Xenopus tropicalis: one gene and its partners. The protein of the gene in region 5 purifies or fractionates together with the protein of the main gene of each other region. This does not show direct contact. Links are inferred from orthologs where the notes say so. Each region holds a gene or a part of one and is shown on either strand. Other genes may lie near its edges. The genes, in order: mtf2, arid4a, sap130, sin3b, rbbp7, sap30l and suds3.

What was found.
Region 1: the proteins of rbbp7 (region 5) and mtf2 purify together in Homo sapiens (affinity purification with mass spectrometry; 4 studies listed by BioGRID and IntAct, counting the BioPlex papers as one, with this or other methods). This does not show direct contact. The link is inferred for Xenopus tropicalis from reciprocal best matches to the Homo sapiens genes RBBP7 and MTF2.
Region 2: the proteins of rbbp7 (region 5) and arid4a purify together in Homo sapiens (affinity purification with mass spectrometry; 4 studies listed by BioGRID and IntAct, counting the BioPlex papers as one, with this or other methods). This does not show direct contact. The link is inferred for Xenopus tropicalis from reciprocal best matches to the Homo sapiens genes RBBP7 and ARID4A.
Region 3: the proteins of rbbp7 (region 5) and sap130 purify together in Homo sapiens (affinity purification with mass spectrometry; 3 studies listed by BioGRID and IntAct, counting the BioPlex papers as one, with this or other methods). This does not show direct contact. The link is inferred for Xenopus tropicalis from reciprocal best matches to the Homo sapiens genes RBBP7 and SAP130.
Region 4: the proteins of rbbp7 (region 5) and sin3b purify together in Homo sapiens (affinity purification with mass spectrometry; 5 studies listed by BioGRID and IntAct, counting the BioPlex papers as one, with this or other methods). This does not show direct contact. The link is inferred for Xenopus tropicalis from reciprocal best matches to the Homo sapiens genes RBBP7 and SIN3B.
Region 6: the proteins of rbbp7 (region 5) and sap30l purify together in Homo sapiens (affinity purification with mass spectrometry; 3 studies listed by BioGRID and IntAct, counting the BioPlex papers as one, with this or other methods). This does not show direct contact. The link is inferred for Xenopus tropicalis from reciprocal best matches to the Homo sapiens genes RBBP7 and SAP30L.
Region 7: the proteins of rbbp7 (region 5) and suds3 purify together in Homo sapiens (affinity purification with mass spectrometry; 3 studies listed by BioGRID and IntAct, counting the BioPlex papers as one, with this or other methods). This does not show direct contact. The link is inferred for Xenopus tropicalis from reciprocal best matches to the Homo sapiens genes RBBP7 and SUDS3.

The regions. Positions count from the first base shown.
Region 1 is NC_030680.2:104,201,370-104,204,869, reverse strand, and holds part of mtf2 (metal-response element-binding transcription factor 2), read left to right. Parts: intron 1-1,105; coding exon 1,106-1,173; intron 1,174-2,048; coding exon 2,049-2,216; intron 2,217-2,701; coding exon 2,702-2,813; intron 2,814-3,500. UniProt on the Homo sapiens protein: Polycomb group (PcG) protein that specifically binds histone H3 trimethylated at 'Lys-36' (H3K36me3) and recruits the PRC2 complex, thus enhancing PRC2 H3K27me3 methylation activity.
Region 2 is NC_030684.2:103,522,562-103,526,061, reverse strand, and holds part of arid4a (AT-rich interactive domain-containing protein 4A), read left to right. Parts: intron 1-16; coding exon 17-217; intron 218-1,041; coding exon 1,042-1,126; intron 1,127-1,328; coding exon 1,329-1,521; intron 1,522-1,646; coding exon 1,647-1,709; intron 1,710-3,179; coding exon 3,180-3,500.
Region 3 is NC_030681.2:125,407,837-125,411,336, reverse strand, and holds part of sap130 (histone deacetylase complex subunit SAP130), read left to right. Parts: coding exon 1-80; intron 81-164; coding exon 165-292; intron 293-987; coding exon 988-1,112; intron 1,113-1,727; coding exon 1,728-1,878; intron 1,879-2,829; coding exon 2,830-2,920; intron 2,921-3,068; coding exon 3,069-3,173; intron 3,174-3,500. UniProt on the Homo sapiens protein: Acts as a transcriptional repressor. May function in the assembly and/or enzymatic activity of the mSin3A corepressor complex or in mediating interactions between the complex and other regulatory complexes.
Region 4 is NC_030677.2:111,966,178-111,969,677, forward strand, and holds part of sin3b (paired amphipathic helix protein Sin3b), read left to right. Parts: intron 1-614; coding exon 615-825; intron 826-1,449; coding exon 1,450-1,566; intron 1,567-1,870; coding exon 1,871-2,109; intron 2,110-2,267; coding exon 2,268-2,451; intron 2,452-3,500.
Region 5 is NC_030678.2:94,684,588-94,687,612, reverse strand, and holds the end of rbbp7 (histone-binding protein RBBP7), read left to right. Parts: coding exon 1-49; intron 50-138; coding exon 139-215; intron 216-1,027; coding exon 1,028-1,085; intron 1,086-1,704; coding exon 1,705-1,815; intron 1,816-2,245; coding exon 2,246-2,314; 3' UTR 2,315-2,525; downstream 2,526-3,025. UniProt on the Homo sapiens protein: Core histone-binding subunit that may target chromatin remodeling factors, histone acetyltransferases and histone deacetylases to their histone substrates in a manner that is regulated by nucleosomal DNA.
Region 6 is NC_030679.2:19,589,912-19,594,123, forward strand, and holds the start of sap30l (histone deacetylase complex subunit SAP30L), read left to right. Parts: upstream 1-1,412; 5' UTR 1,413-1,431; coding exon 1,432-1,623; intron 1,624-3,435; coding exon 3,436-3,558; intron 3,559-4,212.
Region 7 is NC_030677.2:165,508,454-165,511,953, forward strand, and holds part of suds3 (sin3 histone deacetylase corepressor complex component SDS3), read left to right. Parts: coding exon 1-19; intron 20-1,496; coding exon 1,497-1,592; intron 1,593-2,825; coding exon 2,826-2,887; intron 2,888-3,500.

The DNA of each region.
Region 1 (3,500 bases), on a different chromosome or scaffold from region 5:
GGATTCAGGTCTGGGGAACGGGAGTTCCAGTCCATAGCATCAATGCCTTCGTCTTGCAAGAACTGCTGACACACTCCAGCCACATGAGGTCTAGCATTGTCTTGCATTAGGAGGAACCCAGGGCCAACCGCACTAGCATATGGTCTCACAAGGGGTCTGAGGATCTCATCTTGGTACCTAATGGCAGTCAGGCTACCTCTGACGAGCACATGGAGGGCTGTGCGGCCCCCAAAGAAATGCCACCCCACACCATTACTGACCCACTACCAAACTGGTCATGCTGGAGGATGTTGCAGGCAGCGGAACGTTCTTCACGGCGTCTCCAGACTCTGTCACGTCTGTCACATGTGCTCAGTGTGAACCTGCTTTCATCTTCGAAGAGCACGGGGGCGCCAGTGGCGAATTTGCCAATCTTGTTGTTCTCTGGCAAATGCCAAACGTCCTGCACGGTGTTGGGCTGTAAGTGCAACCCCCACCTGTGAACGTTGGGCCCTCATACCACCCTCATGGAGTCTGTTTCTGACTGAGCAGACACATACACATTTGTGACCCACTGGAGGTCATTTTGCAGGACTTCTCCATTTGGCAGTGCTTCTCATGTTCCTCTTTGCACAAAGGCGGAGGTAGCGTTCCTGCTGCTGGGTTGTTGCCTTCTCCTGATGTTTAATTGGTGTTCATGGATGCACTTGTTTGGTTTCTTTCTATGATGTGGTAGATTTCTCTTGGGAATGCATTGAATCCATTTTCATGTCTGACCACAGTCATAAGATGATTTAATTGAATGCCAAACCACATCTGCATTCCTAAATAAGAGTAACAACGGAATGCAGGCTATTGGGGCAAGGACCATATCAACAAGCCAATGAAAGCCAAAGCTGACATGATTTTTAAACCTGTCTGATCAATATCTGGCCAATTTTCAGACAGATATTGATTGGACAGGCACATCAGAAGGCCCTATACACAGCCCAATAGGGACCGAATTAGCAGCTTTTATCAATGAATACCAGTCTAAACCAATTGTATGTGATGGGTGATCAGTCATTAGTGTTTTCAGCATTATTGATTATTTTGTTTTTATGGTCTGACTGTTTTATCCTTTCAGCTGGCTGACACACCAAGATCAGAAAGATATGAACATATTCTGGATGCATTAAATGAAAATAAAACAATGTAAGTTATTTGTTTTAATTCTGTTTAGTTTTAAATGATCCGAATACATCCAGCTGATATATGGTTGGTTAGGAAACTAGCACCTTTTGGTTTAATATATATGATCTCCATTAAATACATTTACATATTTAGAAAATAGAGTCTGTAGAACTCCTTTATAAGAAACTTATAAAGCGAGAAAGCCAATTACAAAAGTATCTGCCAACAGTTTACCGTATTATAACCCAAGTTTCATTAAATAAAGGAGAATAAAAGTATACATACATATAAAATCCCATGGCAAAAGGAGAATTTCTGTGGAATGAGTAGCACTGTGAGTGGGCTATAGTTCAGTACATAAAGTATAAACAATTGCATCCAAAAATGTGTCTAAAGTTCATTTGGTGGCCTGAAATCTAGGGAACAGACACAAAATTTTTGGCATTGAGCCTAACTGCTGGCAAAAATCTATACAGAGCTGTGAAAGTGCTTAAGAAAGACCATTTGTTATAGGAAAAGGGCCACTCCGTATAAAGGTTCACACCTCCTATAGCTCTTATCTAGCAATGAAAGGTTTTGAATAGTAACATTGCTTGTTATTTTAGGGTTTTGAGTTTAGTCTTCTATTTGTCAGGTGCACAATGCATGTTATAAATGGTTTCTACTGTTCATTGGTGTAAGAGTAATTAGATGAACAAGAAACCGTGTAGACTGCTAAACAACCATTTGGACTTCAAAGGAGTTTGAAGTATGAAACTGAAACAGGTTATTCTGTAGGAAATATATAAACAGGGACTATTATATTGTATTGTATCATATTGTATTATGTACAAATGAAATCTACCTGTGCATTGTTTGTAACAAATTAACACTGTATTTATTGAATGTTGTGTTAGGTTTATGTCTGGAAAAGAAATTAAGAAAAAGAAACATTTGTTTGGCTTGAGAATTAGAGTTCCTCCAGTGCCTCCTAATGCAGCAGTTAAAATGGAAAAAGAGGAAAGTACATCTCATGAGTTCAAGATTAAGGGCAGAAAGTCTTCAAAGGTTACACCTGTCACAAAGTAAGATTCTCCATCCTTTTTATTATTCATATTGTGCTTGTTTAACCGAAAATAGATTTTTTTTTTTTTTTAAACTTGTGTGGATTCTTCATACCTAAAGCAATTTACCTAATAGGGCAAAGACACACAGTGAATGCAGAAAAGAAAATGGAAAATTAATTTATGAGCGTATCTCATTCATTCAGGTGCAGGCACATGTAGGAGGTGTAGGGCAGAATTTTCAGCACGCACTTTTCCGCTTGCCGAAAATATCCGCCCTACGCCTCGTCTGGCATTAGCCTTAAGTTTTCTTACAAAAGCCTTACAATGACGCTATTACTCTCCAGAATGCCAGCATAGGTACAAAACATTATGCAGAACATGTAACATTAAAATACATCAGTACAAGCAGGAAAATGTTAGTACATGAAAAAGTGAAGCATAAACTTTCTGACAAGAAACATGTTTGTCCTCATTATTTCAATTTTTTACCCACTATATTTTAGAGAGATAAACAATGGTGAGGTGAAAAAGAGGAAACCAGTTGGAAGACCACCAGGTTCTCACAGGAGAAAAATTTTGCAAAATGAGCCATGTGAAACCCCATCTCTGGCAAATGTAAGAACATTCTCATACTATACAAAGAGCAGTATAGTTGTAAACTTGTTTTGAAAATAGTCAGAAGCTCATTTTTATGAAACCAGAGTGTATCGTGTGGTATGAGGCATAGAAGAGGTTTAGTATTTTTTAAGGTTTCTGTTTTAGTTAGTGCTGTCTTCTGCATGCCCTCCAGTGACACATGAAGTACCTGGGACAGCTAGGGACTCATCAACAGTCTTTTTGTTATTTTTTTTACTGGCTACGTGCTCCATGTTCCTTTGGGACTTGATTCTTAAAATCCCTCCTTACTGCCCAGGGAATGTATCTGGCCCCACCTTGAATGACTTTCAAATAGGTTATTCCCTCTGTGCTCAGTCAACTTCTGTTGCACAGTGCTGTGTGCATAAGTAGCACTGTATCAATAAAAATATACACACATACATCAAACATTCTTGGCCAGCATTAACTGTTTGCAACCTTGCCTGAGGAAGCTGCTCTTGAGGGCACTGAACACTCTCCTTAGGCCTTGCCCATGGACCTTGCTGTATTCTGCTGCTGTTTTAAGCAGACCATGCACACTGTCCCTCTCCATTTTGTCTCAGAAAGCAGGTGAAGCTTAACCTGCTGTATCGATACAACAAACAGTAGGTGAGGTGAGTTAGTTTCCTATGTAGTGCCATGCAAAGGTATTCAGATCCTTATTAA
Region 2 (3,500 bases), on a different chromosome or scaffold from region 5:
TTTATTGTTTTTATAGAAAAGAGGATTCTGAGCACAAGGGAGAGACTGAAGAAGAGGATGAAGACACAGAGGATCGAGACTATCTCGCTGGAACTAAAGTTAAAGTGAAGTATGGGCGTGGGAAAACTCAGAAAATTTATGAGGCAAATATAAAAAGCACGGAAGTGGATGGAGGAGAGCTATTATACCTGGTTCATTATTATGGCTGGAATGTAAGGTAAGTGTGAAGAATGTAGCTTTTTTTATTGTCCATATGTGCCCCACCAAAGTATTAATTTGATTATTTGTATGCTGCCAACTATTACTCAGTTTGGTCAAAACATCTAATTTCTGTCAACCCCAGGTAACCAGTTGGGAGAAACGTTTTGAATGGTGTTAATTTTTAATTCTTAATCTCAGTATGGCTCATTTTACTTCGCAAATGCAGTAGCTTTGTTTTTTCCCCACAGTGCACCATTTCTTCCCAGAATTCCAATGACATTGCAGTTGCAAGGGGGCAATGTGCTTGCAGCAGTTACACAGCAACTGCAGTTACATCTGGTTTGCCAGAATTAATGCAACTGTGCATGCATTTTCCAAATTGGATGGAATTGCACAGAAGGGAGTCTGGCCTCATTTGCAGGGATCAGCAAGTGACACCTGCACCTTGTTCTAAAGGCGCAACTTACTGCACCTATTGACACAGGAGCTACCGCATGGTCAGGAGGTGCCAGTAGTGCCAGGAATCCCCTCCGTTAATAGGTGCAGCAGCACTACATGAATCGAAAAAAGTGAAAGCAGGAAGGAACTGGAGCCATTGTCAACACTGGGTCACATTCAGTCTGTTCAGACAAGATTTTGGAAAGCACAGGCTAAATAAAAATTCCTCTTGACACTGGCAGTCAATACACCCCATCTGATATTATACTTGGAGGTTTTATAAACCACAGCTAGGCTTAGCTTATTCCTTTTGCTTTCAATGTTTACACTTTGTTATCTAAGAGGCAATGTCCTACAGCATATAGTTTTGTTTCAGTAGCATGATAATGTACTCTCTTGCAGATATGATGAATGGGTAAAAGCTGACAGAATCATCTGGCCTTCAGACAAGGGTGGACCAAAGAAAAAGCAAAAGAAAAAAACAAAAGTAATTACAAAACAATTTTTTTTTTAATTAACCATTTACCATGTTCCATGAGTCTTTCTGCTTAAAAAGTGAGGAATAAACCATACAAATTTTAGAGGGCCAGAACAACCCCTTTTTGAAAATATGTTTATCTTGTCTGTGGATTTTTCTGAGTCTTTAATTTATATACATTATTTATTTTAATTTATTATTTCCCTGCCAGAATAAAGATGAAAATGAAGAAAAGAAAGAGGATGATAAGCGATCAAAACGAGGCCGTCCTCCTTTAAAGTCAGCTCATCAGACTAATATGACCTGTGGTCTGCCAAAAACTCCGACTAGCGAGGGCAAGACATCCGTTAAAAACATGAGAAATAGCTTATCGGATAGCTCCTCATTATCAAATGGGCTAGAAGGTAAATGTAGTGCAAATAAAAGTCATAATGAAGGGCTTAGGTTACAAGCATTGTTTAAAATGTATACTGTTTGTTCATATGTATTTTCATTTTACTTAGTTATTATATTTTCCTTTGTATAATAGGATCAGCCAGGAGAAGAACAAGGAGGAGCTCTGGATTATATGATTCTGACAGATGCTCAAATGGTGGGTATTGGGTAACCAGAGCATTTTCATTATGACTTTTATAGCTACCACATATTTTGATAGTATTTTAGTAGTTCTTGCACACCCAGTTGTCATTCTTTGATTATTTTTCGGTATATCACATTCTTTTGATATTGTTTTTGCTGAATAATACCCACTTGAGAATAGAAACAAAATCCTAGATGAGACCCATAATCAGTAAATAGCTTATGAGTTTAATGAGTTTATTGGAATACTCAAAGAAGAGGGTAAGCTATAAGATGGGTACAGCCTAATCTTTCGAGTAATAGGCTATTTACAAACAACCTATATCTTTGAGTGGACAGATGTCTAACATTCTAGCCAGAACATTACTTCCTACTTTCAGCTTTCTAACCTCTTAAGCTGGCCATACACGCACCGATAATATCGTACGAAACCCCGTTTCGTATGATATTCAGTATGTGTATGGCGAGTCGACTGATATCGCAAGAGGCTGCTGATATCGGTCGACTCGCCGATCGGCCAGGTTAGAAGGCGCCTGATCAAAATCTGCCTTAAGGGCTGAATCGGCAGAAGGAGGTAGAAATCCTATTGTTTCTACCTCCTTATCTGTGGCCGACCGATGGTCGCACGAAAGATCGGAAATCGCCACGTGTGTGGCCACCTTTAGTCAGTGACTTTAGGGGGGGGCCACATGGGACATAACTGTTCATTTAGTTTGTGAGCATGAAGGTCAGATTCAAATGCAAACTAACTAAACAGGTATGTCCTTTATGGCCCCCCTCAAGTCAATGATTGGTTACTGACTGCTAACGGCTTAGAAAGCTGTAAAGGAGGAAGTAGAGCTCTGGCCATTATGTTAGGCAAAAATATAATCTATAAAGGCAGATGTCTATCTATATTGAAAACTTTTATATTTTACCCAGTTTCATTTTAATACTGAACTGCTCCTTTAACCTTTATGATTGCACTTTTTAAACCAACATGATGGCTTCTCTAATTAGTTTGAATTTTTGGTGGCTTATTCTGCCATTTTGTTAAGAAACATGTAGTCTGTTACTGTTTTCAGTTAAGATCCAAATAATCATAGCCATAAATGTAGCTTAAGCTCTAGAGCAAAAAAAACATGTTGCTCACACAAAAATAGCGTTGCTCACATCTTTTGACCAATCAGACATGATTATGTCATGGTAAGCATACTAAAAGCAACACTATACAGATCATGAAACAGAAATGTGCCTGATCCTTATTATGCAAACGGATGCATTTATTCTTATATTAATGTTACATGGAGTTGTTATAAGCTTTTATAAGCTATAGAATGACTAAGCACTGTTAAGAAGAATAATTTGATCCTTATTAATATATTTATTAATATGCCTTAAACATTTTGAATTACCAGCAAAGACATTTTTACAATTCAGTTTTATTTCAAAAGATATCATTAACATGCCTCTTCTAACTCTTGTTTATTATTTCCCATCCCAGACTCAAGCACATCTGAAAGTGAATCTGATGAAACATCAGAAAAGGCATCAGTAAAAGAGGAGGAGGTCCTACCAAAGGCTGAAGAAGAACCAGAGAACATTTTAAGCCTAGTTGATATCAGTCCTGTAAAGGAAGTGCCGCCAGTAATTTGTCTTCTAAAAGATCCGGAACACAGTCCAACAAAGCCAGCAGAAACTTTAAAACAAGAAGTGGAGGAAAGTGAACAAATCGTTCAGATTTACGGAAAGCAAACAGAAGAATTGGAAGAAATAAAGGAGGCAGAACATCTGCCAAAGTCCAAGGGAAGGAGAAGTAAAACAA
Region 3 (3,500 bases), on a different chromosome or scaffold from region 5:
CACAAATGTTCAGATGTCAATTATCCGTAGTAGTGCCCCAGGACCTCCATTGCATATTGGAGCTTCTCATCTTCCCAGAGGTAAATGAGTAGTGATTTTGTGACTGATGTGCACTGTGACCATTGCATTTATCCCTCATTCACATTCTGTTTTTTGGTTCTTAGGAGCTGCTGCAGCAGCTGTCATGTCAAGCTCTAAAGTGACTACTATGTTAAGACCAGCTTCAGCACAGATACCTAGCGCAGTTGCTGCCCAATCAGCCACTCAACACATTATTCACCCCCCTATCCAGGTATGTATTTTAATACTACATATGCTGTCTTTCCTTGTTGCAATGTTGTTTAAATTATAACCCACAGAGGACTTGTGAGTGTTGCCACCTGTTGATGGCAATTAAAAAGGACCAGTAACACATGGAAATCAAAATGGCCTAAAAGTGTTTACACTCCATTGCTTCTTTAAAACTTCAGCACATTTTAGAATAAACTTTACTTACACTATATAAATTATTTAAATCTGGTTTTCTTCAGTCCTGAAATTCATAATCCCATTTTGTGGACACCGTTATTAAAGCAAGCTTTGCATCATGCCAGAATCTTATGTGCCAAAATGGGGGACCTCATGCACATGCCCATGCACTGGCTACACAATTAGATGGTGAGGAGGGCAGTGAAATGCTGAATGGAAATGCCGCTAGGTCTTAGGCGTAGAGGCAGGGCAGGCAATTTATGATTGACAGCTAGGATAAATGCCTTTATAATGGGTATGGATGTGTTTATAAAAAAAGGGGTTTATAAAAAAATTTGGGTTTCATGTTTAATTCAAAAAGGACTTTTATAATACAGCTTTTATGTCTGGCTGACTGGTCCCCTTTAAGCTTACTCTCTTAACTACTGTTCTTCATAAAATGTTTTATATATTCACTCTTTTTAAGACAATGGCAGACATTTGCTGCTATATTGACATATATGTTCTATATCTTTACAGTCTCGCCCTCCGGTGACAACGACAACATCAGTTACTCCTGCTGTGGTAGCCACAGTATCGGCTACTAGGGCGCAATCACCAGTCATAACAACTACACCAGCCCATGCTGCTGAGCCAGTGTTAAGGTGAGCACCAGAAAAGTCATGTGATAGCCGCATGTAGCGAATTCATTGGCGTTTTGCGAATTTTCACCCATCACTAGCCATTATACTAAGAATTTCAGCTATATTTTTCACAAATCAACACCATTTAGCATGTTTACTTTACCCATCCATTTATTGGCACACTGACCTTTTTTATAATCTGGACAAAGTTAAAGACAGTTTGTTGATTGGTGAATCCTAGTACTGTTTGCAAGATTGAAATTCCCCCGAATCCTTAGTTTAATCAAAACTTGTTTGTTTTTTCTTGTCTTACAATATTTGTTTAGGGCCCCTAATTCCCTTATAATAATGTTGTATGGATGATGATGATATAGATCATCTTGTTTTAGTTACTAGAATATCCAATCCTGAAGTGTTTATCTCAAATCTCACCATAGTGGGTCTCTAGGTTATGGTATCAGAGATACTTAATAGTAAGTAAAAGTAAATAAACCTTCATCCAAAAAGTTTGCCTGTTTAGTAATATACATTTTGGAATCCTTTTGCATTTTACTATATTTGGTCTGAGAACTGTTAAAGCATTTATTGTTTACAATTTTTGATCAAATTTAATATTTTTGACTCCATATGAAACAGACCAACACTGTCTATCCAGCAACACCCACCACCTGCTGCAATCAGTATCCAGAGATCAGCTCAGGCTCGTGATGCAGCCACCACGCGCATTACTCTGCCAACACACCCTGCTTTAGGAGCTCAGAAGCCACAGCTACATGCAATGGCACAGGTATTCCTTGTCTTCTACTGAACTATGGTTAAAGTTCCCTATAATGTATGATTATACTTAATGTTTAGTTTTATCCATTATATGAGTCAGTGGAATGGTTAATTCAGGTTGGGTGATTAATGCAGTTCTGTGGGGTTGAGTTTCATTCCTCCAATATATGTAGCATAATCTTAAGGTAATATTCTATTTGCAATGAAAAGTCGAAAGAGGGAAAAAGTGTTTTAACAGAATGACTTGCAGGTTATGAAACCATCATCATCATTTATGCTAAGTTATGCTCATTCATAATACAGGAATGAGATCTGGAATCTCATTATCCAAAAAGCTCCAAATTACAGGAAGGCCATCTCCTGTAGACCCCATTTTAATTAAATAATTCCTTTTTAGAGGCAAATCAATTATGTTGGGGTTAATTTATGTTTTAAAGGAGAAGGAAAGGCAAAGTCACTTGGGGGTGCCAAAATGTTAGGCACCCCCAAGTGACTTTAATCGCTTACCTTGTACCCCGGGCTGGTGCCCCTGTTAGGAGAAAACCGCACCAGCCCAGGGTACCTGTAGTGAGCGCTTCCTTCTTCCGCATTTCTTCTGCTGGCAAAATCCCTGGGCTGGCGCATTTGCATTAGAGTGAAAAGCCGACTTTCTTGTTTACATTCGGCTTTTCACTCTAATGTGCATGCGCAATGCGCCACTGCGGAAGAAGGAAGCGCTCGCAGCTACCCCGGGCTGGTGCTGTTTTCTCCTAACAGGGGCACTAGCCCGGGGTACAAGTTAAGCGATTAAAGTCACTTGGGGGTGCCTAACATTTTGGCACCCCCAAGTGACTTAAGCTTTCCTTCTCCTTTAAATTATTTTTTAGTAGACTTAAGGTATGGAGATCCAAATTATGGAAAGATTATCTGGTAAACCCCAGGTCCTAATCATTCTAGCTAACAGGTCTTTTTTTGTCTGTAGAAGACTCTGTTTGGAACTGGTAATCCAGTAGCAGCAGCAACAGTGGCTCCAATTCTAGCAACAAACACTCTCCCTTCTGTGACAACTTCAGGTCAGTATGGCATTGAAAGAGTTGGAAGACAGAGATGCATTTTTTTTGTCTTTTTGGCCTTTGTTATAAATATTTCTTATGTTTTAGACCCTTACTCTAGTGAACAGGGACATGAGCAGTAACAGTGTGTCTATTATTGCATTTTCAGGTTCTGCTCCCCACACGCAAGTTTCCACGAGCGCCATTGTTACTATGACAATGCCTACTCACTCTTCACATGCTACAGCAGTGACTGCCTCCAACATTCCTGTGGGTAAGTGCTAATGTTCTGTTGTGTGTAAATAAATGCAGTGATTTTATAGGAAAAAGGAGCTTGCTAGTTATCATTGTCATCCTTGCGAATGCAAGCAAAAGTAGAATAGGCTTTAGGGCGAAGACACACATGGGGGCAATTAGTTGGCGCGACTATTAATTAACGCAGTCGCGGCTGACTAATCACAGCGACTTCCCGCCCATAGAAATGAATTGCGTCACCGCAACTTTAACAATATTACTCCAACTTGCAGTGTTGCAGTAGTAAAGTGTGATGTGATGTTTCAGAGCACAGACCACACGGCTGTGGCACCCTGGGAAATGAAGA
Region 4 (3,500 bases), on a different chromosome or scaffold from region 5:
CTGCATCGATGGTCCCCTAATTATGGTGCCCTCAGTGGTATTGCCACCTATATTAATGTTAGAGACTAGTTATTAAAGTTTAAAAGGTGTATGAACACAGCCAAGTGAGAGGCCCTCCTGCACAAGCCTTAGACATCAGATTTAAAAATGCTGGTTTCCAAATAGTTAAACAATAGCCACTGGGAGATTAAAATGCTCTGGGGGTGGGGTGGGTGCCCCAGGCCTGCCACTTAAACTGACCACCAATCCCTGTGTAAATGAAAATATTAGAAAGGAGTGACAGTCATCGAGCTTTGTCATTGGTTTTGGTGAGGGCTCCCCAAACCCATTGTTTAGAGGCACAAAGGCTTTTATTGGTTTTCATGAAGACCGTGTGATTTTTTTTTTTTTTTTAATATACTTTTGGGTCCTCCTGTTTGCTCAGTTTTTATAATTGTGAGTTATTTTCAGGCCTCTAGGTGATTCACCAACAAGTATCTTTTGCATAAGGAAGAAATGGGGTAATAGTTGAATCCTTTAGAATGAATCTGCCCATGCTAATATTATAGGACTCTTTTTTTTGCATGTAGAATAAATAGTTAACTTCTTCTTCTGTGTTTCTGTGTGCTTTTCAGAAAGTTTCCTGAACTCTTTGCACAGTTCAAGTCTTTCTTGGGTGTTAAAGAGCTTTCGTTTGCTTCACCAGTAACAAACGACCGCTCCAATGAGGGCATTGGGCGGGAGATCGATTATGCATCCTGCAAGCGCATTGGCTCCAGTTACCGTGCTCTACCCAAATCTTTTCCACACCCAAAATGCAGTGGGAGGACTGCACTCTGCAAGGAGGTAATTCAGTTTCTCAGTGTAAACCAATTCTGGGTTACAAATCATAGTATCGCTAGGCATCTTGTTGTATATTTTTTAACCTACAAGAATTTGAATATCTGTTTAGTATTTCCAAAGGCTTTTAACATCAATAAAGGATTGATTACAAACAAAAGGAATATATTCACAAAATCTAAACATCAAATTAAATAAAATGTAAATAAACATAATACATTTATATTCTAAACCCATTTGTATATCTTGACACAAATGGCCTTCCATTAGTATAGAATCTTGCACATCCTTTGCTTCCGAAATACAGGAAGATCTGCACCACCTTCTCCCTGGTTACAGACCACGTAGCTACCAGACTTTTTATCATGAAATACATGGCAAGTTTTATACTAAAAGTGCACTTGTCAGACAGTTATTCATTTTTTCCACTTGTGCCTCCTTAAAATAATACCTTTAATTTTTAAAATTTGGACCTATAGTAGTTAGTTGCAGAACCCACAGGAATGTAGGTATACATGTTTTCCTCCATAATCTGGGATATCTGCTTTCCATATACAGTATTGCTTTCAGTACATGTACCTCCCCATGCTGGCATTAATAAAGTAAAAATGTGTCCATCCTCTTTTGCAGGTATTAAATGACACCTGGGTGTCATTTCCTTCGTGGTCTGAAGATTCTACTTTTGTGAGTTCCAAAAAGACTCCATATGAGGAGCAGCTTCACCGCTGTGAAGATGAGAGGTTTGAGGTAAGCCACAAATGCTAACATAAGGTTTCACTGGACTTGCCCAGCTCATGCTGCTTCTTTATTTTACTCCTACTGCCTTTTTTTGCCTTCATGATGTATGTATTTTATATATTTCCTGTAGTTTGAAGCATTTTTAAAACTAGCCTTTACCAGCTGTTGAAAATGTTTACAACCAATTTAACAAATGTAACTTTTTTTTTTTCTAATTGTGTACAATAAGGCCTTTTATGTTTTGGCGGTTCCATTTTTTTCTTAAACTGTTGCAGTTTTCTGTTCCATTGACTTCTTTCCTTCTCATTAATAGCTGGATGTTGTTTTGGAAACCAATTTGGCTACCATTCGTGTGCTTGAAAGTGTCCAAAAGAAACTCTCCCGCATGTCTCCTGAAGATCAGGAAAAGTTCAGGCTAGATGACCGCTTGGGAGGCACTTCAGAGGTTATACAACGCAGGGCAATCTACAGAATATATGGGGACAAAGCTCCAGATATTGTAGAGAGTCTAAAGAAAAACCCAGTTACTGCTGTACCTGTAGTATTAAAGAGGTGAGAAATTGGGTCTAGTATATAGTTTATATATTTTTAGGGCCAATCCTTATTTAGCTGTGACTTTATTATACAATAAAGTTTAAGTACAAGGGCAGAGTAAGAACAATATCTCAGCAAAATCTCCTACATGCCTTTAAATCCTGCTTGTTTCACAGACTGAAAGCAAAAGAAGAGGAGTGGCGGGAAGCACAGCGGGGCTTTAACAAGATATGGCGAGAGCAGTATGAAAGGGCATACTTGAAGTCTTTAGACCACCAGGCTGTCAATTTTAAGCAGAATGACACAAAAGCCCTGCGCTCCAAAAGCTTGCTTAACGAGATAGAAAGTGTCTATGATGAGGTGAGTGATAAAATATGTAAATATGATTTTAAGCAGGTGAATTTTTTGGATGTCCATAATTTGTATAGCGCCAGGAAAAACCTGTCATGATTTTTATGGTGTAGTTCTTATTACTATATTACATGGTATACATTACAAATAATTATCCTAAGAAATACAGGTGTTAAGGTGGCCATACACGAGGCGATTTCGCTCGTTGTGCGATGAATGATTATATCGACAAACGATCGTATGGCGATCGAGTTCCCATACGATATGCCATCCACGGGCAACGATAATTCGGGAAAGATTTTGTCGCATCATTATCGTAAAATACCTACGATCGTACATCTACGTACGATCGATGTCGTTGCTGGCAATCGTGACATGCGCAGAGAACAATCGTTGAAAGACAAATGTCTGACACTCACACCAACTGGCAGATTTTATCGTTAAACGACCAAAATTTTTAAACCTGGCCGATCGATTTTGGGGACGATAATGTCGGCTCGTTTAGTGGGCCGACGATCGTTCGTACACCACCAACTATACGATAACTTAACGATAGCATCGGATCGTTCGGGAATCGGTCGTTTGTAAGTAAAAAATCGGTCCGTGTATGGCCACCTTTAGGGATGTGTTATCTTACTACTTTCCTATTGTTCTGCTGATCGGCTGCTGGGGTGGGGAAAGGTTGGGAGGTGATATCACTCCAACTTGCAGCGCAGCAGTTAAGTGTGACTGAAGTTTATCAGAGCTACAAGGGAGATTTGTTGCGGGCGACTAATATCCCTGTCTGTCACGGCCCTAATAGAATTCATGCTAATTAGGTATTATTCACTTGCTTTTCAGGTCAGTGTATGTTCTATAAAACAGGTTAAGTGTCAGAGTAGTTTAGATCCAAGGACTGATACAGTTGGTGTTTTAAAATTGCAAAGGAAATTTATACCTTTCTGAGGCAAGCTGGAGCCAGCTTTGGGTGTCTTTGCTTCCTCTGGATCAGTTAGCAGCTAGCTTGGAATCATTTGAATAAAAGATCAATTTTGATGTGCATGTAACTCGCTTTCTTT
Region 5 (3,025 bases):
AAAGCTGAAGCTCCATTCCTTCGAATCTCATAAGGATGAAATTTTCCAGGTTTGTTTTAACCCCATCATTATATCTGGACTCGTATTACCAAATAAATGTTGTAATGTTGTAATTATATTTTCTATAATCCTCTCTAGGTTCACTGGTCTCCTCATAATGAAACTATTTTAGCTTCCAGCGGTACAGATCGAAGACTTAATGTCTGGGATTTAAGGTGATTTTCATATCTTGTAAAATATGGTCTGGCATGTTCATATTTTATTGGAAAATTACAGTAGAAAAACTGCTCTTCCACAGAAGTAAAAAAATATTTTTGCAGCCCAATGCAAAAGTCTCCATTTGTCTATGGCCTATTGCAGAGGTCTCCAAACTTTATTACTAATGAGCCACAGTCAAATGTAAAAAGAGCAACACAATCCTCATAAAAGTTCATCGAGGTGTCAAATAAGGGCTAAGATTGGCTATTAGGTAGCCTCTATGTACACCATCATCTTACAGGAGGCTTTATCTGGTAATAAATCTTGTTTTTATTCAACCAAAACTTGCCCCCAAGTCAGGAATTCAAAAATAACTACCTAGTTTGGGGGCACTGAGAGCAACATCCAAGGGATTGGTGAGCAACATGTTGCCCCCGAGCCACTGGTTGGGGATCACTAGCCTATTGTGATAATAATGTGAAGCTTTGAGTAAGCCACACTATAACCTGCCCTTTTCATGCAAGGACTTTTTTTTGTGCAGTAAAAACTGTAAAATCACACGTTTTGATTAATACTAGTAATGTCCTAAGCATGGTTTCAACATTAGGAATTGTGAAATAAGTGTAATATACAGGAGAAGTCTGGTACTGATACAGTACAATCAGGGAGAGTGATGCAGCATTTACTATTTTCCCCTTAAATGGGATTATTGTTTTAAAGGAGTCTGAACAAATAAGAAATACTGTGTTGGAGCTTAAATAGAAAAGTGTGTGGTTCATGGCAAAGAGTATGTGTTCACTGTTTGTCTTTTTATTTACCTTTCTGACAGTAAAATTGGAGAAGAGCAGTCAGCAGAAGATGCTGAGGATGGACCTCCTGAGCTTTTGGTATGTTTGTGATGAGAACTAGAATTGGGTAACTAGGAATTATAGAAGTGGGATGGGCAATACTTTTTCATCCCTTAACAAGTTTGTTTAAGCTACATCCAATACCGTCACTAGCAGCAGCCAAGCCCTATGGCAAAATCATTTTAGGCCTTGATTGATCATATGACACATGCAAAGGTTTCAGTACTGGGTAGAGCACCCCATATTGTGGGGAGTTTTTCAGTAAGGCATCTTGCCTCAAATAACAGCATACAGTCTTTCTGTTTATGTAGTAAGCATAAAAGCTCAGGGTCATTCTGATAAGCAATTTTACCTTAGCTAGGCTACAATCTGGGCTTCAGTCATATATTGGTTGAATGTAAAACATGGCCGTTATGCTAATCTCTTAGCATTAACTGGCAGATTTCTCATTATGATCACAAATTACATTCTAATCAGATGTGTGAACATCTCAGATACCCCCCCCCCCCCACCCAGCATTTGGTCAACTTAGAATGCGCTGTAATGGTTTAGCAGATAAAGATCATACTTACAGAAGGGATCCCCTTATCTCAAACTCTAGATTCAGGTGTTATCCAATAGTATAAATGATGTTATAAAATGGTTACTTGTCTTTTAGTTTATACATGGAGGGCACACAGCAAAAATCTCTGACTTCAGCTGGAACCCAAATGAACCATGGGTGATATGTTCAGTGTCTGAAGATAACATCATGCAAATATGGCAGATGGTGAGTTATTAAATAGGAGCAACATGAGCATAAAATACAGGGGGGAAAAAAGCCTTTGACCCATTTTAACTTTTTTTTTTCTTCTGAAACAATTAAGTGGCAGCATGCTGATAAAATTTGTAACTACTTTTAGCCACAGTGACGGGTGAATCCTAACAATAAATGTGAAAACACTGCCCACTGCATGGCTATATCCTCTCATGTCATGTGGCCTAAAGGCGGGACATGACTTTTTTTTTTTTTTTTTTACCAGATCGTGAAATGATCAGTGTTTTGAATTTGCTTCCTCAACCTACATTTGTCTTTGTTTTAGCAGTTACTTATTGCAAATCGCTGACTCTTGTTGAGATACACCTAGATGATCAGTTCAGTACTTTTGTATCTGCTGTTGTCTGATTCATTAATAAACTATTAACTCTATTTCTTGCAGGCTGAAAATATTTACAATGATGAAGAACCTGACATACCAGCTTCTGAGCTAGAAGCTCAAGGATCATAGATCTTTTTCCTTTTTCTTATTCACACTCACTATTGCAGATGCTGCCACATTTGTGACGTGGTTAATGTTTGTGTAAGTTAATTTGCAATTCTGAGTACATGTATTGACATTTTCTTTGTAAATTGTATTGTAATATTCTTGCTCTTTGTATTGGATACCTGGGGGACTCGCTGAAGCGGCTGATGGAATAAAAAAAAAAAATTAATAACAATCTTAACATTTTGTATTTTGGGGGGGAAAGTACAAAGTTTGCACATTAATGTTCGCCTTAAAACACATGGCACCAAACACCATGGCACAGTGGTCTCAGGGCAGGACAATTTAAAAGAATTGTATGTGTAAAGATTGGAGATTGTCTAAGTCCATTTAAAGGGGATTTTGTGTGTGTGAGAGGCAGGTAATGGATATTCGAGTTGGCTATGCAAAGAAAAAAGACACTGTTCTATTAAACATTCATATTTACTTACATGTACAGAAATGAGTAGATAAAATGCCAGATTTACATTTGTGAAAGACCTTTACAAAATATGAAACAATGCCCCTTGAAATACTCTGTTTTGTCCTTTTTAGAGATCACAAAAAACTTGGATTGTAAAAAAAAAGTAATGTAGCTCAGAAGTTACAATTTTGTATTTTTTTTCTGGTTCCTGGATTCACCAAATCACTAATATTCAGCCAAAACTTTATTACAAACACTTAAAACAATGTGAT
Region 6 (4,212 bases), on a different chromosome or scaffold from region 5:
AAAAGGAACTAATATTGGACAGCTTGGTCTATATGTTGTCAATCTTTTATTACACACAATTTTTCAAGAAGGGGTTTGATACCTTTATTTCAAGTTCTGTTTCCCCAACATCATGGTTTGACAGAGGTTATGAACATGGCATTGCGGATGTGGATTGCAGAATGTTTGTGCTGAAAACCAGACAATTATTTTTATACTGGACATGTGGCATCCCTATCTAGGTCATGTAGTTAGGCAGGTTATATATAGGCATTATGGTTGAACGTGATGGACGTATGTCTTTTTTCAACCCAACTTACTATGCCTGAACATTGGTGAGGGGGCAATTTTTTAGGTTTCCCCCATTAAATGTAATCACTACCCGCCTATGTAGAACTGGCCCTCCGGTTCTGTAAAATACGTTCCAGCCCTGGGTCCTGTTGTGCAGAGCAGGCCACTGTTGTCTTTTTTCAGGGTTCTAGGTATCACTAGGAACCCATTAACCTTAATAGGGAAATACATATTAAATGTCGGAATGGGAATAAACAAAGGGCTGTCTTTCAATATAAAAATTTATGATATTGTCATTATTATTCTATATTTTCTGTAGCAACCACATATCCCACAGCTCTTAACGGAAATTAAACATCAGTCCCCAGCAAAGCTTACAATCCATGATCCCTCACGTTTGCACCTCCTATGGTTGGTTTTATCAAAAGCCAAATAACCTGCCTAAAGTTTTTTTGAGTTTGGGTGAAAACCATAGTTGCTGGTGGAGATCCAGACATGAGGATCAGAACAGGCAAACATGCAGCTAATGACCTGAGCCTCCCACTGCAAGTTAGGCAGCACTAGCACACTGTGCAGAGGGCAGAGATACCTATACCTTGTACACAAGTGCATTTTGAACTAGGACCAAGAGGTGCAATTTTACTCCACTTTATCTAGCAATAACATTAAGTACATCTGTATGTAAATAGGGCCCAGTTGTATCTACCCTGAAGTTATTAACAAAGAGCAGACAAGAAAATCACCTAGAAACTAAAACAAGTAGTAAGCCAAAAATAGCAATTTTTACAGCTCTGTTTTACTACCACAACAAACTATTTCCAGAAAAACTTTGTAAACAATTTATTTGGATATTTGTATCTTTCTCAAACATTTCCCATAGAATCCCACGGAGTTTTCTCGTAACCGGATGTAGAGCGTTCTGTTACGCAGTGACTGACGGCATAGCTGACCAATCACGTTTATTTCTAAGCTCCTAGTGCGAAGGTTCACTCATAGACGGAAAAGGCGTGTGCTTACGCACAGTAAAGGAGCGCAGGACTGACCAATCGTTGTTGCGACTTGGCTTCTGGTTCCCCGCCTCCTGTTTGCGATGTTCAATGAGCGTCGGGAGGCGGGCGGAACATCAGTTGTCAGGGTGCTGGCGGCTGCACAGCTTTGGGGATGAACGGATTCAGCACGGAGGAGGATAGCCGTGATGGGCCGCCGGCCCAGGCTGCACCATTCTTTGGACAGACCTGCTGCCTTATTGATGGCGGAGAGCGCTGTCCTCGGCCCGCTGGAAACGCGTCGTTCAGTAAGAGGGTGCAGAAGAGCATCTCACAGAAGAAGCTCAAACTCGACATCGATAAGAGTGTGAGTAGATCTTTACCCCCTTGGGCACTTTTAATGGGTTAGACTACAACTCCCAGCGTCCTCATAAAGCCTTGGGAACTAGAGGCTAACTGCAGTCAGGTTATGAGACCGGCGGCAACTAACGGTTTTGTGATTAAGGCTCATAGATCCTGTCCCCCATAGAAACATGAAGCAAATATATATAATTATACATAGAAATGCACTGGCACAGACTACAGTACATACACAGAGGGTTGGATAAACAGCCTTTTATAAGTTACTGCAGGAATAACACAGGTCCTATAGTACTATAAGGAGTATATTCTAGAGATAGAAGAAGGGGGCCCTTTGTGCTACTATGAGTGGCCCCTCTGTGGTATATAGGCTTGGTTATGCGGCTTTAAAGAGATACTGACACCAGAAATTAAACCTTTTTTTTACATCTATCATAACATTGTTTTTGCATGACCTTCATAAAAGTATTTACCCAATGCTTTTATATTACCTGTCTGATCCCACATGTTCTCCTATAAGGAGGCTGCCATATTTGTCCAGCCTTTAGCATTAGAAGATATAACTGACAGGCTGAGAAGGGACAGTCAGGTTGGCAAAACAGTCAGGTTTAGGAACTTCAAGTAACAATTAATTACAAAAGCAAATCTCTCAGCGAAAATCAATCAACATGACTTAAAGGCAACTTTTTATGTACATTCATATTTTGAGGAGTCATTTTTTAGTGTCAGTATCACTTTAAGGTGGAATCCAAGTTTTTTTTTTTCAGTCTTGGATCGTTCACTGTCCCAGGTAGCAGCAGAGTTTAATGACTTTAGGGGCAGTTAGTTGTGCCCCCTAACTGCCACATGGAGAAGTGTCCCTCAGTGCTACTGGGAGCAGATACTCTCCAGTATAAACACAATCACTGCTACACAGCCCCACAGAAACACAAGACCCCTCTCTGGGCAACAGGATTACCATTTTGTCCAATGGGCATTGTAGGAGCCCTATACCGCTACAGAGGCCTGATAATGTCCTAAATACACAGCAGGGGAGCCCTTAGTAGTTTACAGATCAGAGACAGTCCTGCTGAAAAAACACCTAATGTTATTGTTGCTCAGTGCAGGTTCCCTACAGAGCTTTGTATGGAAATGTTTACATACAAACAAATCTGTATTTGATCATGTGTTGTGTTTACATGTTGACAACGTTTCCTGTTCATTTAATAGTAGATAAGTTATATCCAGACAAGGAACAGAACCTCCTTAAATACTTAGATTTGTTTTGTAACTTTGTTATTAACGTATGTTAAATGCTTTTTGGAAAGCCCTTTGTTTTGGCTTTGCAGCAAGACCACATTGGGCTAAAGAACCACTTTTGAATCGCAGTAAAATAATCCTAGATCAGGTGATGCTGGGAGGTGTAGCAGTGGCACCCACACCAGCGCTAGACATGTTTGCAGGGCATTGAAACCTGTTAATTGCGGAGGTTGTTGAGTCCTGGGCCCACACTGCACTCTGGTGTAAAAGTAAAGGGACCAATGACAGCTTAAAGTGAATTATTGTCAGTTGTTTGGTTTACTGTCTTAAACAGTTAGTAACGTATTCTCCGTGCACCACTGAAGTAACTGCAGACTTACTGTGAAAATTTAATATATATTTTGTGATTTAAAGTTTTCCTGGATTTTACTCCATTTTTATTTGTAGTTGTTCCACTAATAAATAATGCATTTCCCTGATTTTACATTTTGCAGAATTTTAGACCATTTTTTCTTGGCTCCTGATAATCCTAAAATAGGGTTTCTACTCTATATGCTCATCTTTCCTACTTTATCTTCAGGTTCGGCACCTTTACATATGTGACTTTCACAAAAATTACATCCAGAGTGTTAGGAACAAAAGAAAGCGGAAAACCAGCGATGATGGGGGGGATTCTCCAGAGCACGAAACAGATGTCCCAGAGGTGAGTTCTTTTATGCTTTTAAATGCAACAACACATAGGGCGAATTCAATCATTCTGTCTTCTGGTTGTTTTATAGCTCTGTTGACAGGGGACAGAATGTTTAAAGGACAAGTCAACCCAAAATATAATTTTAAGCAACTTTGCAATAGACATTCATTACAAAATTGCAATGGGTTTTGACTTATATTTATATAGTATTGCAATTCGAGTTCAGCAAATGCTGCTTTCAATAGCAATTACATTTACAAATAACTTTTAAAGCACTAAAATGTTTCAATAAATTCACATTGGAAAGTTGCTTGGAATTATGGTTTCTTTTATTAGGAGAATTAATTTTGGGGGTTAAAATGTCCTTTAAAGTCGACACCCTTATTTACTTGAATGATATTTGCCTAGAAACACCAGGGTCGCTTACTTGAAGGCATTTGGTTTGACCCAGTCACCACCTATCAAGGAAGTGCACCATTTGTTTTTAGGCTAATCAAGTGAATTGAGGGGCAATATCAAGCATTTTGTCCCCTTGCCCTTTGTGCTATTCAACAACATGATCATTATAAAATCACACCAGGCAGTGGTTTCAAAGAGACCAAAGAGGAATGTGAATAGAACAAGACCTAAGTAGAAAGATAATTAATCAAAACTATTTAAAAGCTG
Region 7 (3,500 bases), on a different chromosome or scaffold from region 5:
ACAATGGAATTGACTGGAGGTAAGATGAATCTTTGCTGAAAATAAAGTGAAACATTTCAATTCACTGTAAATGAGTTAAGTGCAAACAGTTTTTGTATTCTATACACTGTGGGGCCTATTTATTCAAGTACGACAGGTACGAATTACAAAAAATTCGTATTTGATCGTACTGTGGGTATTTTCGGCAACTTTTTTGTATTTTGCGCAACTTTTTCGTACTTTGCAACAAAATCGTATTGTTGTGACGAGTAAGAAAGTTTCGGATTCATTCAAGCTTCGGTATAGTGACTTTCCTTGGGCCAGGTTGGAGCTGCTGAGTGCCTTTGAGTCCTATGGGAGGCTTCCAAAATTAAGCACAGAAGAATCAAAGTCAGAAAGGTTTTCCTGCTGTTTACGATCGTTCGGATACGAAAATTTTGGTGACTTTCGGATCACCAATATGATATTATCGTGACTAATGCGATTTTTCCCGTAAGCGTTTTCGTGATATTTGCATTTATCAGAAATTATCATATTTAATCCAAATTTTTCCCAATTTGGGATTCAAACTCGTACTTTGATGAATAGACCCCTTAGTATAGAAATGATAGTTAATACTTGCTCAAATAATAACCCCTCTTCCATCCCAAAGGGGTTTCTGGGATCACTCCTTGTATTGGATAAAGGGCAGACAGAAACTTGTGCATAACCCATTTGGACTACCATAGCTTAACCTTTACTAACCCAGCCATTTTTATAACTGATCATGGTAGATTTGAAAGTTGTTTTATCAAAGCAGTTATTGAGTCTCCAGTTCTGGGATCTTCTTTTCACTGTCACCCCTCCTTTTTTCTTTATTTGCGCACTTATTCAAAGCATCATCACTAAAACTCAGGCATCGGGATTTTTAGGACTAGCCCAACATTGCATTATTTACCCACACTTCACAAATCCAAGCTTCCAAATTTCTATGCTATATTTTTAAGTAGTCAAATAGAGGAGACCAGTATCTCTGACTGGTAGTAATGCCTAAAATTAACTTTGGCCCTAAAATTCCATATATTTTCTGATCATTTCTTATCATTGGGTGATGAAAAGAGAGAGTAGTTTTTTTTGCTGAGGGGCCAAAAAGCCTTCAGGATAACCATACACATCATACTATATGAATTACGTGCCCTTCACTGTTAGGAAGATTGCAGTAGTGTTATCGGTTTATGTTATGAGATTATTTTTAGTATGTCCTGTTTAGGTTACACATTACTATTACAATAGAACATTTTGTTTTATATATTTGTTCGAGCTCCTCTTCTGTTTTCTTCTGAAAATAAAAATGGATTTTTTTTCCAGATTTGAATATGCATCTTAACGATTAAAACTGTTTATTTTGTTGGTCCTGCAGAATTGCATGACGTTCAAATTGTAACAAACAGTATTTTAGCCCATGCTCCCATGCAGTTGTGTAAGTAATATGAGCTCATGCCAAGGAGTGGTATTTATCGTCCTCTCCCCATCTACAGATTCCATGGAAGTGAAGCCTATTATGACACGTAAATTACGAAGAAGGCCGAATGATCCAGTGCCAATTCCAGACAAAAGAAGAAAACCTGCTCCTGATATCTTTTGCAAATACTTAATATTTCATGACTATAGGCCACACAGACAGCTTTTCAGATGTTAAACAGCAAAAAAAGTATCCCACGGTTAGTGGGATGCTTTGACTGACTTTGATAAAATGAATCATTATCATGACTGACTTTGACATACTTTATCGTGTATACAACACAGCCATGATTATGCAGCTCTTTCTGAAGTTGTCCTTCAGTCATAACAGTCCATGCCCCAGTGGAGCTTCCGATCTATGTTCCCTATTACGTGTACGTGCGACTGCTGGACATTGCAGCGCAGCGTATACCATCCTTCCAGCGATTTACATTCCAACTGGTGGGATGGCATTGCGGGGAGATTTGTCCCCATGACAACAAAGATTTGTTGCGGATCGACTAATCTCCCGTTTACAACTGCCCTTAGGGTGAAGACACATGGAGCTACTAGTAGCAGCTACTTGTAGTGGCTACTAAAATAGACAATGCCGATCATTTACTGATAACGGTCTCAACATGTTTTTTAGCAGAGGCAATTCTCAGTATTGTCTATGGCAGGGTATTTTTTGGCGTTTAGCAGCCGTGACAAAGTAGCTGCTACTAATAGCTCTTTGTGTCTTCACCATTAGATGGATAAAAACACACGCACTAAATTGATAAATTAAAAAAAAAAAAAATGTATATACCATTAGCCCATGGGAGATCACCTTTTAATAGACTTTGTTTAGTAAAAAAAAAAAAAGTGCTATAAATTTACCCTATTTTAGAGTAGGGCCAGAATTACTTTTTCAGTTAATTACTTTTAGGTAAGGTATTGTGCACACAGCTTTATATATCTGGACACTTACTTTTTATTCCATTACATGTCAGTTGCCATACTAATTATGTATATGAAAGATACCATATATTGTTCTGGAAATGGCAGAATGCAGGTGCAGTGGTAGAGGAAAATGATGCTTGGGTTTTCCTTATAATGTCAGTTTAATGACACATCATTGAGCTAAGGAATTATCATGCAAGAACAAGTATTGTAAATACACATCATGATGTTTATTGTAGGTAACAAACCTACAATTTGCATTATAGGGATGGGGGTGTATCTGGGTCACATTTGAGGCTTGTTTTAAGAATTTTTGTGAATTGTTATAGTTAAATTTACATGTGTAATTTCTAGAGATATATCTGTTTGGAACGTTTTTTTTTTTATATACTTCTCATTGTGAACTATGACTTAATTCTTGGCACCCCAGCTAAATTATCTGCTAACAGATGAACAAATCATGGAGGATTTACGAATCTTAAACAAGGTGAGTCTGGTTACATTGCATAAAGGGAGATTACATTGATCTTTGTGTTTTATTACAGCACTAAAAACCTAAAGATCTTCATGCTCTATGTTGACTGACTGTCAATTTACCAGTGGTTGTTACCATGGAGCTAGGTAGTAGTGGCACACCTTCATGATGTTTCCCCTTGCTTCTAAGAGTGCAGTATGGCAACTAAGTTGAACTCCAGAGTTAAGTTTAGTATTATTTTTCTAGTTATTTCTAAACAAATGTATTAAGTGGTTAACATGGGGCTTCATTTTTTAGCCTTACAATGTACCAAAACACTGTACAGTGTTACAGTATCTCCTGTCTCTTGCATTCTGCAAGCTAGGCATTCCTGACAGTGTGGCTCATTTAGCAATCCTATCCCCCAAAATTGCAGCCATTTAGGCCCATCCACAGTGCATTTTCACCCATGGCATAGAAGGAGCAAGCTGTATTCATCTTGTACTGAATAAAAAATTCTGGTGCAGGGTGCTGAGTAGAGTAAGGAACGTAACGTCTGCTACAAACAGATGTTAAGTATATGGCTGTCTGGTGCCTCCTGGCCCTGGCACTCCCTAACCTTCTGTCTGAATGACATGCAGCTATT